2 linked regions of the Rhinolophus ferrumequinum genome follow. The protein of the gene in region 1 purifies or fractionates together with the protein of each later gene. This does not show direct contact. Links are inferred from orthologs where the notes say so. Each region holds a gene or a part of one and is shown in the gene's direction. Other genes may lie near its edges. The genes, in order: KCNA5 and KCNAB2.

Region 1 (7,945 bases):
CAGTCCAGGCTACTGCTTGGAAACTTTCATTGCATTCCTGAGGAGGTTCCCACGTCTGTAAACGCCCCAACCCCAACCCCAACCCCAACGTGCAGTAGCAAAATTGATGTTTGACAAGAAAGACTGGTGGCATAATTAGAACAGAATCTTATTTTTGCCTCCTCCTGTCCTTTTAAATTTAATCCAACTGGGGAAGCTTTTCCTTGCTCTAGATGAAAATACAAAAGATTCCATGTTTTTTGGCTTATTCTTATATAATAAACAAAGCTACAGTAACTTTAGGTCTCAAACACTATCTCAATTTAGGAAATAAATTACACAGTTCAAAATATTAAATTGTTTTTAATCCACAAAGTTAGTTTCCAACTGAATTTACAAAGTTAAGGCTGTTTGAGTAGTAATAGATAATGTAATAATATATAACCTGAATAAACAGCCAAAACAGATTTAATTCACCACTTTCCCTATACGGCCATCCAAACGAGTGTTAAAAATTTCTGGTTAAGTCCCATCTCCACAGCCAGTTTGAGTATTTAGCTCATCTCAGAAATCTTCCAATGATTTGAAAGAAGATTTCTGAGATGAAATCCCTGGGTTTCACTTCCCTCTTTGTTCCACAGATGAATTCCTTTCTCTTAGTTTAATTTCTTTCAACACATACATATTGAAATTCACAATATGGACATGGTACCAATTTGGTGTTTAAAGGCAAATCAGAGATGAGGAAAGTATGATGCGTAACGCTTGATTTCAAGCTATCTCTGTCTTGCTCTGTTTTCCATCATCTATCTGTCTGCCTATCTACATATCTATCTACCAGTCAATAGATATATAAATGGTATGATACTGTTTGTGGGTGAGATCAATAGACAGGATAGATACATACTACACATAGAGATAAAGTTACATTCCAGTGGGAGTGGAGGGAGAGAAGAGGCTAAAATGAGTAATGGAGAGATTTTTTAAAAAAGAAGCAAATTGCCACATTTGCTTTATAGAGACACAAGCAAAGTATCTGAGGGTGTGTTGTTACATTTTGCTGGGGGAGATCATGAAACCTGACCTAGCAAGCTCTTCATGGTCTGGCGTTCCCTCCACCTCTTTAGCCCAATCTCCCCGAACTCTTCCCCAGCCCTCAGTGTCAACTACAGTAACTTTCAGGTCCTCACACCAGCCCTGTCCCTTCCTCCCTAGAGCCTTGGGACATACTCTTCCACCTGGAATTGTTTTTCCATCATCACCTCAGAAAGCTTCCCTACATAGGTCCTACGGAGGGGTCAGGCTCTCCACTATTCTCACAGGACCCTGTATTCTAGCTGATACCCCTTAAAATTGTAATTAAACAACCAGTGTAAAATTAGATGCTCAGTCAGTGTCTTTTGCCTTCCCAGGGATGTAGCTCCACAGAGGAACTGCATCTGTCTCGGTCATCAATATATTCCCAGAACCTGTAACAATGCCTTGCATATAGTAGGTACTCAATAAATATTTTTGAATGGATTGATACAGGTGGCATTTAGAAGTTTTTCTCCTCTTCCTCTTCTCCCTTTCCTCTCTCTTCCAGCCCAGCTCTCCTTTCTTTCAATGCCTTACGCTGATAATATTCTTTTCTCTTTATTCTGCATACCTCACAAGTCTTCCTGCAATCTGCTAGGACCAGTCTGGGCATTGAGAGAATACCTCCCATTTGTTCTCCTATGTATATCTCATTCTGGGGGACATAATCTAGGTGCTGCGAATAGTTCCTTCTGAGACATGGTTTAGGGTTTGTCTGAGAGGAGGCTGACGCTCAGTGTGGTCTTCGGACAGGAGCATGGGCGACTCGGGGCAGCTGTTTGAAACGCAGTCTAAGCCCCACCCCGAGTCAGATGCCACCTTGGAACTAGATCCTCAGGTGACGGTGCTCATCGAGCACTGCTCTAGAACAGCTTATCCCCTAGGATTAGATGGATGGAGAAGAAAGCAGGTTCAGTCCTATGATGCATCAGCTGTGTCCTCTCCCAAGAGGATAAGGAGATGGAGTTAGGCATGCAAGAGTTTTATTGGGAGGTAATAAAAGAGAGAGAAAGAAACCTGCAGCACTCATTGGGAGAAGCCTTCTGACCATGATGCTGGTCTGACACCTGTGAAAGGAAAGAGGGGAAGAAGGGTTGGATAGGGAGAGTTTCAGCCTGCAGTATATGTCATACAAAGACTTGGCAAATCCAGTGGGGAGATCCAGTGCAAAGATTGCACAGTAGCAGTGTCTGCCTTGGATAGAAGTGGCCCAGTCCTTGTCACCCTGCAAGCTCAGTCATTGGCAGAGGGCTGCCCAGGACGACTGTGGCCTCTGCGTGAAAGCCAAAGCAGAACCAGAGATGCTAACAGCTGTAGGCTGTCAGCTAACTGCACTCCTTGAAGCTAAAAACTAAGTTCTTTTCTTTAAAGGAGATCCTAGCAGTATACCTCCATGGCTGTCCCATGTAACATATGAAGATAATTTTGCAAGAAATCTATGAAAGCTAGTAAATGTATGGAAAGCAGATTTAAGAAAATACCACATTAAAGGAAGCCTGACTTATGTGCTTTTCCAGGACTGTTTATGTTACACTCATTCTTCAGGGAACACTCTCCCCAAGGGCCCCTGGAAGACAAGGTCCAGAGAACATTTTCCCTTAGGGAGTGCAGGGAAAGTCCACGCAAACCAATATGGTAACCCTGTCTTTACAAGATGCATGAGTTAGTAAACAAGATACAGTGGTCCCAGGTCTCTGAGCTCACCCTGTGCAAGCTCAGTAAGCCCCAGGCTTCCCAGGGGCAGACCGGATCCTGATTGGCAAGCTCAGAGCCAGAGAAAGTGAAAACCCAGAAGAGATAGTGGGAATTGCAGAGGTCTGGGGAGGGGAGGGCAAGGCCCTGTGGTTAACCAGTGATGCCTCCACATACTGATTTTCACTCACACATGTCTGCAAGGACAGCCAACTGCGTGCACAAAGTCACACACAACGAGAGCTTTTACCCATGCCAAATTTACATCCACCCTCATGTACACTTTAAAAAGTCATGTGCACATATAATTGTCCAACCCTGACATGAGATTGTATGTCCACACCCTGCTATTTCAACAAATACTTGTGTACCTGGTACCAAGTTTCCAAAACATCCCCTATGTGTAGGTCACAGACAAGGGGCTGTAATATCCACATATATAAACACCAAACAACATACAGGAACAAAAGTAATCAGACATTCAAAAATTCAGTGACTTTATGGTCATTTAAAACCGGCAAATATCTGGAGGCTGTGTCGGGACCTGCCAGACCTGCCTTGAAAGATATTTCCCTTGGCTATAGATGCCCACTCAAAGCCTGCAGGGGCAAGGCAGGGCCCATAGCCTGGTGTGCTAAGCCAGGACTTAGCCATTCTGCCTCCTGTAGGAGGGAACTAAAGCTCTATGTTGAGGGGAGAGAGTGCTTGTATCTGGAAAGGAGGTTACACGTTTCTGCAGAGGAGTAGAGTGGAGGGAGCAAGGGCCCAAGCTCTGCTTGCTTGGGTTTGAATTCCAGCTTCACCACTTTCTACCTGGATGGCCTAGGGCAAGTTGTCAGTCTTTCTGTCTCATTTTCCTCATGTATAAATTAAGAATAATAGTACTTACAAAATAGGTTGCTGTAGGAATATTTGTATAGTGCTGAGAATGGGCCTGGTGCATCATAAAAGCAAAGTTAAGTATTGGTTATTATTGTAGTCCTGGGAGCTCTCCAGCTCTGGAGATTCCACAACCTCCCTGGCTCCCTCTCATACTACCCCTACCCCAACCCGTTACACAGATCTCCAGGCAGTTGCTAGCTCCCTTCACCAGGCTGAAACAGCTCTCATCACGATCTCTTTATTCCTCCTCCCCTTGCCTGGTAAGGTTTTTGCAAATGGATTTGTGGAGAGGGCAGAGGGATTGTGTGTCTGCGCGTTTGCAAGGATATGAAACCAGGCAGCGAATGTCCAGACTCCTGCAGCGCTGGGTCTGTCTTGCTGACCACGGCTGTCTGGACTGGGAATGAGGGCTTTTCTCAGGGTAAGGGCAGGGGCGCTGCAAGGTTTCAGCCGGTTACCTTTCGGTGGGTTTGTAGGAAGGTGAGAAGAGAGATGCTTCTCCATTGGTCTGGAGATCTATCTGTCTATCTATCTATCTATCTATCTATCTATCTATCTATCTATCTATCTATCTATCTATTATCTATCTATCTATCTATCTATCTATCTATCTATCTATCTATCTATCTATCTATCTATCTATCTATCATCTGTCTTTCACAGCCCATAGCTCCGCCACTCCCCTTCCCCTGTGTAATTCTTCCCAAAGAATAGCGAACCATTATTCCTCCGCGGGAGAAATATAAAAATGACTGTTGTCTCTTCTCTTTGACTCAGCTCAAAGCCTCATCCGTTCAAACCAAGACAATTCATTTCCCCTTGAGTCCACTCTGCGTTCAGCGGGTTCCCAGGTGAACTGAAATCCAGAACTATTCTCATCTGGTTGCCCTAGGAGTTTCAGCGCTCGGTACAACCTGTTCCTCCTTCCTCCCCACTCCCTCCCACCGTGCTGGGCTGCGTCCTTCTCAGCCCCTCTCCCTCCCCTGCCTGGGGCCCCAGCTATGCCCTCCAGAGAGGCACCCGCTGTCTCTGACAACCAGGAGGGGAGGCGTGAGGGGGACGCAGGAGGAGGAAGAGGGGAGGGGGGTAGGCGGGGAAGCGCGCAGGGTGGAGGCCAAGCGCTGCCGCGCTGCTTGAGAGGGGCAGCTGAAGGTTGCAACTGCTGGAAGGAGGCTTTTGGCTGCTTGGTAACGGGCTGCCAGAACAGAGAGAAAGGCAGAGAGCAGGGCAGCGGTTTCTTGACGTCAGGACCCAGCGAGGCGATTGCTCCAGCAACCCCAACCTGCTCCACTGTGCGCCCCGCCGACGGCGGGAGAGGAGCCCCGCGCCAGGCGCCCTCTGGGTGTGAGCGGGGTCGGGGGGGGAGCGTGTCGACCGAGGCACAGCATGCTCCCAGCCCTCGGGCCATGGAGATCGCCCTGGTGCCCCTGGAGAACGGCGGGGCCATGACCGTCAGAGGAGGAGGTGAGGCCCGGGCAGGCTGTGGGCAGGCCACAGGGGGAGAGCTCCAGTGCCCCCCGACAGTTGGGCACAGCGATGCACCCAAAGAACCGGAGCCGAGGGGGCGCAGCGCACAGAGGGGCGCGGACCCGGGAGGGCGGCTTTTGCCATCGCTACCCCAGGAGCTGCCGCCTTCCAGACAGCTGCCTCCGGGAGACCAGGAGGGAGAAGGCGACCCCGCCCTGGGCACGGCGGAGGACCAGGTGCTGAGGGCAGGGGCCCTTCACCACCAGCGCGTCCTCATCAACATTTCCGGGCTGCGCTTCGAGACGCAGCTGGGCACCCTGGCGCAGTTCCCCAACACCCTCCTAGGGGACCCGGCCAAGCGCCTGCGCTACTTTGACCCCCTGAGGAACGAGTACTTCTTTGACCGCAACCGGCCCAGCTTCGACGGCATCCTCTACTACTACCAGTCCGGGGGCCGGCTGCGGAGGCCCGTCAATGTCTCCCTGGACGTTTTCGCAGATGAGATCCGTTTCTACCAGCTGGGGGACGAGGCCATGGAGCGCTTCCGGGAGGATGAGGGTTTCATTAAAGAAGACGAGAAGCCACTGCCCCGCAATGAATTCCAGCGCCAGATGTGGCTTATCTTTGAATACCCGGAGAGCTCGGGGTCCGCACGAGCCATCGCCATCGTTTCGGTCTTGGTCATTCTCATTTCTATCATCACCTTCTGTTTGGAGACTTTGCCTGAGTTCAGGGATGAACGCGAGCTGCTCCGCCATCCCCCAGCACCCCACCAGCCTTCCTGGCCCGCCCCGGGGGCCAACGGCAGCGGGGCTGTGGCGCCTCCCTCTGGCCCAACGGTGGCACCTCTGCTGCCTAGGACCCTGGCTGACCCCTTCTTCATTGTGGAGACCACGTGTGTCATCTGGTTCACCTTCGAGCTGCTTGTGCGTTTCTTTGCCTGCCCCAGCAAGGCAGAGTTCTCTCGGAACATTATGAATATCATCGATGTGGTGGCCATCTTCCCCTACTTCATCACCCTGGGCACCGAGCTGGCAGAGCAGCAGCCGGGGGGCGGAGGCGGCGGTGGCCAGAATGGGCAGCAGGCCATGTCCCTGGCCATCCTCCGCGTGATCCGCCTGGTCCGGGTGTTCCGCATCTTCAAGCTCTCCCGCCACTCGAAGGGGCTGCAGATCCTGGGCAAGACGTTGCAGGCCTCCATGCGGGAGCTGGGCCTGCTCATCTTCTTCCTCTTCATCGGAGTCATCCTCTTCTCCAGCGCTGTCTACTTCGCAGAGGCGGACAACCAGGAGACCCACTTCTCCAGCATCCCAGATGCCTTCTGGTGGGCAGTAGTCACCATGACCACAGTGGGCTATGGGGACATGAGGCCGGTCACTGTAGGGGGCAAGATCGTGGGCTCACTGTGTGCCATCGCTGGGGTCCTCACCATCGCCCTGCCGGTGCCCGTCATTGTCTCCAACTTCAACTACTTCTACCACCGGGAGACGGACCACGAGGAGCAGGCAACCCTCAAGGAGGAGCAGGGCAGCCAGAGCCAGGGGCCAGCGCTGGACAGCAGAGGCCAGCGGAAGGCCAGCTGGAGCAAGGGCTCCTTCTGCAAGGCTGGGGGTGCCCTGGAGAACGCAGAGGGAGCCCGAAGGGGCAGCTGCCCCCTAGAGAAGTGTAACCTCAAGGCCAAGAGCAATGTGGACTTGCGCAGGTCCTTGTATGCCCTTTGCCTGGACACCAGCCGGGAAACAGATTTATGAGGGGGGATCCAGGCAGACTGGTGGCAGTGGGGTGGGGACAGCAGAAGCCTCCTGAGCCTGGGTATATACTTCATACCACAGAGTATTTCAAACCTACTCTATAACCTAAGCATGTCCCTCTTCCTTTCACTCTTTCCCTCCCTCCCGCTCTCCCTGGATCCCCCCATTTTTCCTCTTCTTTCCATGACACCAAGAGTTGCCTATTTTTAAAAAAATACCACATTCCATGACGCAGGAGCTGTTGAAATGGTGAGCGCTATGAGAGGGATGTATTTGTAGCCAGTTTCCTATACCCAGCAAAGGAATAACCCAAACAAAAATGACTTTAAATAGCCTACATCCCAAGAGATTTTTGTAACCACCCCCATCCATGTGTTCCAAATTTGCTTTACATATGATTATATTTTGTGTATAGGGGAAAATATTTTTATGGCTGGTGAGTGGATTTTTGTACTATACATCAGATGGAGATATTTTGGAGATATTTTGAAGACTTGTGTGGTATTTATGGAAGAGAAAGTTACTGTGATGTTTTTCTGTGATACTTAATATTTTAGCCAGAGACCCAGCTGTTCTGGTTCCTGTGTCTGTAAGACTCTCTCTTTTCTGGGATGTGGTATAGGTGCTTTGCATCTAGGGCAGGGAATGTTTTGGAAGAAAGGCAAGTCTGAGTTTTTTCTGTGCGCCTTAAACAATTTTTGTAACTTTCTTTGAAAAACATTTTAATGATGTTGGAGGAAGACTTCTGATAATTCATTCCTTTATTTTTATCCCCAAGAAATAAAATGTTACTTGGTTGAGGCAAGTGTTAGTTTTTCTACAGCTGTTGTATTTTTTGAAATTGAAAAAAAAATAGTCTGTCACTTGCTGTTTCTGGTTTTGGAGTCAGAGCAAATGCCACCTTGACTGGGGTAGAAAACTTGGAACACTAACAATTTGATCATCAGCATCTTTTTCTTGGGCCCTCCCTGTGCCTCATAGATGGAGCAGTGAATTCTGTTTGTCTCGGGCTGTTGATGGCTTGGACACCCCTGCAACATGTTGTCTGATGATATTAGACTCAGCATGGAGTGCGGATGGAGCTGAAAGGCAGAGGG
Region 2 (7,655 bases), on another chromosome or scaffold:
CAGAACTGTCCCCAACCAGGCCCAATGAGAAGGTGTCTTCTCTTATTTTGTGTCTCCATCCTGGACTCGCAGGCTCAGGTCTGACCTTTGTGGTTTTTCATTTACGGCGCATGTTCATTTTCTTCACTGTCCTGAATACACAGAATTCTTCCCATCTCGTGCAAGTGCCTCTGGTGGGGTGGGGGGTGGAGAGGGAGAGAGGGAGAGGAAGAGAGAGGAAAAAAGCAGGAAAGAGAGGGAAGGAAGGAGGGAGGGGGGAAGGAAGCAGAGTCAGAGGGCGAGAGAGAGGGAGGAAGAGAAAGGGAAAGAGAGAGGAAGGAGAAGGAGGGAAAGAAGGAGGGAAGAGAAGAGAGGGAAGGAAGAAGGGAGGAAGAGGGAGAGGAACACACTAGTAGCTGTGAGTGGGACACCCCGGGCATATTTCCCCCAGAGTAATATAGTCATTTATCTTTATTTCCAACAGAGAAATTGAGGGTCATCTAGGCCAGGCCCCATTTTGCAGATGAGGAAACTAAGGCTCAAGGAGAGAGAGGGCTCTTGTGTCTGGTCAAGGGTGCCTCGCCTTGGTACGTGGTGAACCAGGACTTTCTGCATGGATCACCTGGTTTATTCTGGTGCTTTCCCCTATGTGTGTATACATGTGCTTGTCCATGTTAAAATCATGCCATGGGTCCTGTTTTCCCGAAGGCTGCCACCCAGCGTCCCATGGCCAATCCCAGGACCCAGAGTTACACTGAAGGCCCCCGTGTAACTCTCCAGTCAGTCCGTGGAGACTCTAAACAGTGAGGTCTTGCCAGGGCTGCAGTCTGAGACCTCCAGGAATCCGTTTTTGTGTTTCCTTTCAGTTTAACTCACTTCCTGTCCTTTCCCATCCTCTGCTCTCAGAGCTCTAACTGGCAGCATACTGGCCTTTCAGGAAAAACTAAAGCTGAGAAATCACCCACAGTGACAGGGTGCAGGGGAACTGGATACATCCACAAAGCCAAGAACCCTCCCCGAAATTACCGGTTGATTTGAAGGAGGAAACGTGCCATGTCAAGGCGGAAGCCACCTCAAGCAAGTGACTGGAGCCTGCCTCTGCCCACGGGGATATGCACGTGCCTCCTGGCTGGGTGCCCACAGAAGACACAGCCTCACCCAAAAGGCTTAGCCAAATCAAATCGTGAGGCAGCAGACAAGTCCGAAATGTGGGGCAGTGTGCAAGACAAATGGCCTGAGCTTTTCAAAATGTGTCCTGAAAAACAAAAACAAAAACATGGTGGGGAGCTAGATGAGAGGAAAGTGGGGGAAATAACCAATGCCGTTTGTGAACCTTGAGTGGACCCTGGGTTATTTTAAATCTATAAAATATATGTTTGGAATAGGGGAAATGTGAATATAGGCTATATATCAGGTGACATTGAATAAGCACCTTCGGTGTGCCCTGGCGTGATGAAGGACAGAGCTCTTATTCTCAGAAGAGGCATGCTGCAGTGTGGACGGGGGGTGCCCTGAGATTGCAACTTTCAATGGCTCCAGAAAAAATGCATGTGTGTGTGTGTAAGTATGAATGTGTGAAAGAGTGTGAGTGTGTGTAGAGACGGAGATGGAGGGAGGGAAGGACAGAGGAGAGAAAGAACGGGATGGGAGAGAGAATGCATGCAACTGAGGCAAAATGTAGACCGTTGGTGAATAGGATGCAGAATATAGGGGTGTCTGTTGCTGTTCTGATTTGTTACAACTTTTCTGATGTGTGAAAGTTTTTCAAAACAGTAAGTTGGGGAGAAGAAAGACAGTGCCCACAGATGGAGCCTCCTGACCTTTGGGGTGTCACCATCAGCTCACCTTGTAAAGGATGACAGCTGGGACTTACTCGACAGCTTTCTCCTGGGCTCAGCATTTTCATGTCTTACTTCTCTTTGCTCGGGGAGAAGGTATGGGCAGGCTTTCTGAGTGCTGCCTGCTTCAGTTCTCCAAGTATAAATTGGGGTGTTTGCTCAAGGTCACACACAGACCAGGTACAAGTGCAGGAGACGGAGGGACCCAGGCTTCGGACCCCAAGTCAGCTGTCTCTCCGGAAGCTGCGAGAGGCTGCGGGTGCACCCCTCTGCCCGCCTCCCTCCCAATGCCTGACATTGGCAGCATCCCGCTAGCATGTCATCTCCTCCGTGATTGGCCACTGGATGGATGCCGTTGCTCCTGATTGGACGGTGACAGCTGCAGAGCCCAGAGGTGGGCTCTGGGCCAGAAGCTGGCTGCTGGTTCAGAGGAAGCCTGACCTTCAGAGTCCAAACTAGGTAGGGGGGAGGAGTAGGCCAGGTGGCCTCCCCAGGGACGCCTTGCTAAGTGCAGCAGGTGGTACCAGTTGTCCCTGCACCTGTAGTTGCCCTGAGCACCCTCCCTGGACAGAGAGGGCGTTGCACCCTCCAGAGAAGACTGCCCTTGTCCCTGGTGGAGGCGGAGTCCCCACACCCCTCCCTTCCCCTGTGCTTTCTCTGGATGAGCCTTCAGCAGGCTAAGCTCAGAGTCATTCATTCACTCCCTCATTCAACAAGTATTTGAGTGTTTAGGAGGGAAACACGATAACAAATGAGACAGTAAGTGAAGTATGAGGTATATTAGACGGTGACAAGTGCTAGGGAGAAAAATTCTGCAGGGAAGGGACTAGAGGGGTGTGTGGGAGAAAGGGTTTGCAGTTTCAGATAAGGTGTCTGGGAGAGACTCCAGGAGAAGGCCACCTTTGTATAAAGAGGAAAGTTGGGGGCAGGGGCCCTCAGATGGATCTCAGTGGTCAAAGAGCTCAGGTGGAAAAAGCAGGTGCAAAAGCCCTGAGGTTGCGGGTGGCAGGTTAGCTCAGTTGGTTAGAGCATGGTGATGGTAGCACCAAAGTTGCTGGTTCAATCCCCGCATGGGCCACCGTGAGCTGCGCCCTTCTTTAAAAAAAAAAAAAAAAAAAAAAAAAAGCTCTGAGGTTGGAGTGTCTGCGGGTTTGTGGGACCCCCAAGGAGCCAGTGTGTGGGAGTGGGGTGAGCAAGGGGGAGGCAGGGGATGACGTCCCACGCATCATGGGCAGGTGGGGTGGGGCACAAGGCCACTGTTGAGATTTGGGCTTTCACTCCGGGTAGATTGGGAAACCATCGGAAGGTTTCGAGCAAAGTAATGACATCATCTGATTTATGTTCTAGAAGGTTCACTCTGGCTCCTGTAAAGTAGATGGTGAAGGGTAAAGGTGGAAGCCAGGAGACACATCACACAGCTGTGTGTGTGTGTGTGTGACTGGAGGGAAGGGGACCTGCGAGAGAGAAGGTGGTGGCCCAGACCACAGTGGAGCTTATGGGGATCACCGTGAGAAGCTTGGGATTCTGGGTGTTTCTAAAGATGAATAGTGATGAATTTTTTGCTGAGCTGGGAACAGCGTGGGAAGAACCGGCTGGGGACGCGATCAGGAACTGAGCATGATCTGTTGCCGCCGAAATATTACCTCGAACTTAAAACAACTTTTATTACCTCAGTTTCTTCTGTGGGTCAGAAGTTGGGGCACAGCTTTCCTGGGTGGTGCCTCTGGCCTCACAAGGCAGCGATCAAGGTTTTGGTGGGGCTGGGCTCTTACTGGAAGGTTCCACTGGGGAGGGATCCCCTCCAAGCTCCCGTGGTGGTGTGAAGAATTCCTTCTTGTGGCTGTTGGCCAGAGGCCACCGTCAGTCCCTTGCCTCTCCAACATGGCAACTTGCTTCATCAAGAAGCTTCATCAAGAGCCAGCAATTAAGAGAGTCTGCTAGCAAGACAGAAGGCACGGAAGTGCCTAATCACAGAAGTGACATCCCATCACCTGTGCCACATTCTGGTGTTCGAAGCCAGTCACTAGGTCTAGTGTATGCTCAGGGGGAGAGGGTGTTGGGTCCCAGGAGCTGGGGTCACGGGGTGTCTGAAAAGCTGCTTCCTTAAAGCTCAGCAGTGGCACCATCGTTAGAGTAGGGGTCAGGGAAGGTGAGGCAGCAAGGATGGCCCTGGGTGACAGTGACGCCACCACCTGGGATGGGGAAGACAGTCCAGAGTACCAAGTCCACAGACGCCCTCTCGGACCATTTCTGCAGAGTTTGGGCAACAAAAAGTTGCTCTGACAGCCTCAGAAAAGCAGCCATGGGGGTGGGGGTGCAGGAGAAGGACCCCTGTGGAGCGTGGTGGGGGATGGAGAGATGGAAATCCTTCACAGTCCTTGGACCTGACCGTCAGCCTCATCCGAGCCCCCATGGTCGGTCTGTCTGTGCGATGAGGGACATGCTGATGCCCCGCAAACCGGGCCTTCACCCTCACAGAGCCTCCTGGCCAAACCTGACTGGTCTTTCTTAACCACCTCCCCTCTTGCTTTTCTTCCAGAATCTTCCCTCTGTGAAGAAGAGAGCAGGTCGGGACGAGTGAGGCCGGCTCCATGTATCCAGAATCGACCACTGGCTCCCCGGCTCGGCTCTCCCTGCGGCAGACGGGCTCCCCCGGCATGATCTACAGGTGACCCCCAGCCCCAGGCCCCCCACAGTCACCCTCCCTCTGGGAGGGATCCCCGAGGCCACTGTGTTTCTTCCCCTGGACCCAGAGGACAGTGAGATGCAGCGGGGGTGCGTTTTCTCTGAGGAAAGGGATGGAAGCCTTTAAGACCAAAATGGGGAAGAAAAACCCAGGAATTTCTGGGTGGGTTGGAGCCAGGATTAGACTCCCACCTCTCCTGGAATAATTCAGGAGTGGAATAATTCAGGAGAGGTGGGAGTCTAATTCCACGGAAGCCCAACAGTGGGGGGGGGGAGTCCCTCCTGGCTCTGTTTCTCTCATCTTACACTTTGAGGCTCCTCCGGACCCCCTGTGGCCGGAGGAGAGTAGGCTTCAGAAGAAGGGGGGAAAGGTTAGCCCTCAGCTCCCCCAACTGCCTGAGTGAGGCTCAAAGCCTTGCAGGCCTGTGGGGCACCGTGTCTGCCCATCTTCAAATGCCGGGGAGGGCGGGGTGGCCAGGTGCTCACCAGGCACCCTGGACCTGCTCCTTGAGGAGGCCAGCTCTGTCTTTCTGCTTGCCTCCCGGTTGGACCCAGGCAAACAGGCAGGAGCCACTGGGTGAGAACTGCTGGCACCCCGACCGGAGCACAGAGCCCAGCTGGCAGTCACCGACAGCTGGGGCCCAGGTGGAACCCTGGGGGCCCATCAGTGCTTGAGCGATTGGACCTTTCTAGATAATTGTCAGGGCCTGAGCCTCAGCGAGTATCCATGGAAACCACAGGGAAAAGGGGTGTCCCCACTTCATCCAGGTCCTAACACGCACAGTCACGTGAAGATTTGCCAGTGAGTGGGATGACAGGCGCTTCTTGGTTTGAGGGTTTTCAACTGTTGTTCTCAAGCATATTTCATTAAAATCCAAACAGATTGTCCCCCAGGGTTTCCCTCCTGTCTTCAGTTCCCATTCTGCTGTCCCCACAGAATGGGCGTCTACCTCCTTGCGCCACTGGGTGGCGCTTCTGCCGAGCACTTGGTACCCAGCGTGCATCCTCCCCGCCAGCCCTGAGCAGAGCGGGGTGGGGCTGGGGCTGAGGGGTGTCGCTGGTGGTTCTGGCTGGCACCTCCCTGTGGTTAATGCCAATTGTGGACTCTCTTTCTTCTCTCCCTTCTTTTCTCTCTCCTCCGTTGCTGTCGCAGTACTCGGTATGGGAGTCCCAAAAGACAGCTCCAGTTTTACAGGTAACGAGCCCTCCATTCCCCTAAATCCACAAGCGAAAGGCAGGGGAGTGGGTGGGAGGGCTGTGTGCCCAGGTTGGGTGTGCTGCTGGTTTCTCAGGAGCAAAAGCCCCCCGACGAAGTCCAGGCTCCGGTTTTCTCTGGGCACCCACCCATGAGGCATCTGTAATGTCCTGATGGAAAAACCGTGAAGTTGGGTTCATTGTGCTGATCTTCTAGAATTTGCTTTGATTGGAGCAAAGGGACTTGTGACACCTGCTTCACTCTCGCAGGCTCTACCTTTGAGCCTCCCGCCTCAGGCAGCGGTTTGTGCCTCTTGGGGTCTCAGAGTCAAAGACACTGTGGCCCATCCGTTCTCCCCGTTTCCTTGGATTTGAAGTGATGTGTGTGTAACCTGCAGCGCTGTCAGGGTCACCCAAGGCCAGCCTCACCTGGGGGTTGCGGCTCCAATGTGACCTGGATGCGGTCGGTGGGGGGGGGGGGGGACGTGCTAGCGTCTTTCTGATGCCTGCCCCTGCTTGGTGAAAGGTTGTGTCCCTGTGAGACGACTTGGTATCCAGGGAACAGACAGGTCAGTCAGCCGCGTCCTCTCGGGCTGTCCCTTCCTCCCTCTAGGCGGCCTCTTCCTAACCTGTACGGTAGGGGGTACCCCACGAGGACACATGCTTCCCGGAAAGTCTCTAACTCTATCTAGGAGTTTACTTTGACATTTTCTTCCTATCAGCAAACTGTCAGGGTGTGGAACTTGCAGGTGAGCTCCGCCCGCCTTGGGACTCTGTGGGGACCTCGGCGTGGCTCTCGGGGGCAGGGACCTGGTGTCTCTTGTGCATCTTGACATTCAGGCCTGGCAGGTCTCGCTCTCCGGCGTTGCGCACGCTCACCACTGATGGGGCCGGGGGCAGTTACCGGCACCTCCGACGTGACCGTGGGCCTGGGTCCTCAGGCTCATTTTGCCACCATTTCAGTGTCCCACTCCTTACAGAGGGCGAGAGAGAGATGACCAAGTCTTTCATTCTACTCAAATTTTTGCTCAGTAAGGTCTTTCCTGAAATAGATCTGAATGTGGGCTTGCGAATGCGTTCGTTGGATAAAATGGTCATCACTGCAGTGGTACATAACATGTCACTGCAAATGTGTGACACTCATCCCAGCAGGATCTGACCAGTGAAACCAAACGTGCACTTGAACTGCGTCCTCACGTATCCCGAGCCCACCTCACTCCCAGAAGGAAAGGAATGAGGTGAGACAAAGGCAGAAAAGTCCAGGCACAGACCGGCCAGCTGAGAGGGCATGGCCAGGGAGAGGGGCCGAGGAAGTTGTGGGGTGTAACCGAGTGGAAGTGAGACTGTGTTCCACACCCTCACTGGCCCTTGGAACGCCACGGATCCAATGTCTTGTCCACCCCTTTAGGGCCCCTCTGGATAAGAATCCGGTCTCCACCAGGCCTTCTTGCCCTGAGGACGAGTTCTGTTGGAGAAGTGCATTCCCACGTCCCTCTCTGCCTCTCAGCTCCTCGTGCAATGCCACAGGCTCTGGATGTCCTGCCTTTGGTCTCCAGTGTGGTTGCTTCACACTTATGTCTCTTGTGGGGCCCCTGATGATGACCTCTAAGGGGGTAGGATCTTTGTCCAGCATCCAGGGTGCCACTCCCAGCGGGGCATCCTTGTCACCCAGGCGCTGACATGGCTCTCAGATGGTTCAGTCAGCAGTGTGGAGCCTCTCCTATAACAGAGCAAAGGTTTTCCAGGCGTGCCCCCCGTCAGGCAGGATGTGACAGACAGTAAGGGAGCTAAGACCCGGTATCCATCAGCTGTTACGCAGAACGCCACATAACAAACAGCCCCCAAAACTCAGTGCTGTACAGCAAGGAGCATTCATTTCTCGCTTATATGTCAGTGGGTTGACTAGAGTCAGTTCATCTAGGCTGGGCTCAAGGCAGCACTGGGGCTTTGAGCTGGACC

The links.
Region 2: the proteins of KCNA5 (region 1) and KCNAB2 purify together in Homo sapiens (co-immunoprecipitation; 3 studies listed by BioGRID and IntAct, counting the BioPlex papers as one, with this or other methods). This does not show direct contact. The link is inferred for Rhinolophus ferrumequinum from reciprocal best matches to the Homo sapiens genes KCNA5 and KCNAB2.

What each region holds. Positions count from the first base shown.
Region 1 is NC_046293.1:22,534,662-22,542,606, forward strand, and holds KCNA5 (potassium voltage-gated channel subfamily A member 5), read left to right. Parts: upstream 1-4,769; 5' UTR 4,770-5,036; coding exon 5,037-6,848; 3' UTR 6,849-7,582; downstream 7,583-7,945. UniProt on the Homo sapiens protein: Voltage-gated potassium channel that mediates transmembrane potassium transport in excitable membranes. Forms tetrameric potassium-selective channels through which potassium ions pass in accordance with their electrochemical gradient.
Region 2 is NC_046292.1:3,615,515-3,623,169, forward strand, and holds the start of KCNAB2 (voltage-gated potassium channel subunit beta-2), read left to right. Parts: upstream 1-4,485; intron 4,486-5,655; coding exon of another isoform or gene 5,656-5,663; coding exon 5,664-5,697; intron 5,698-7,655.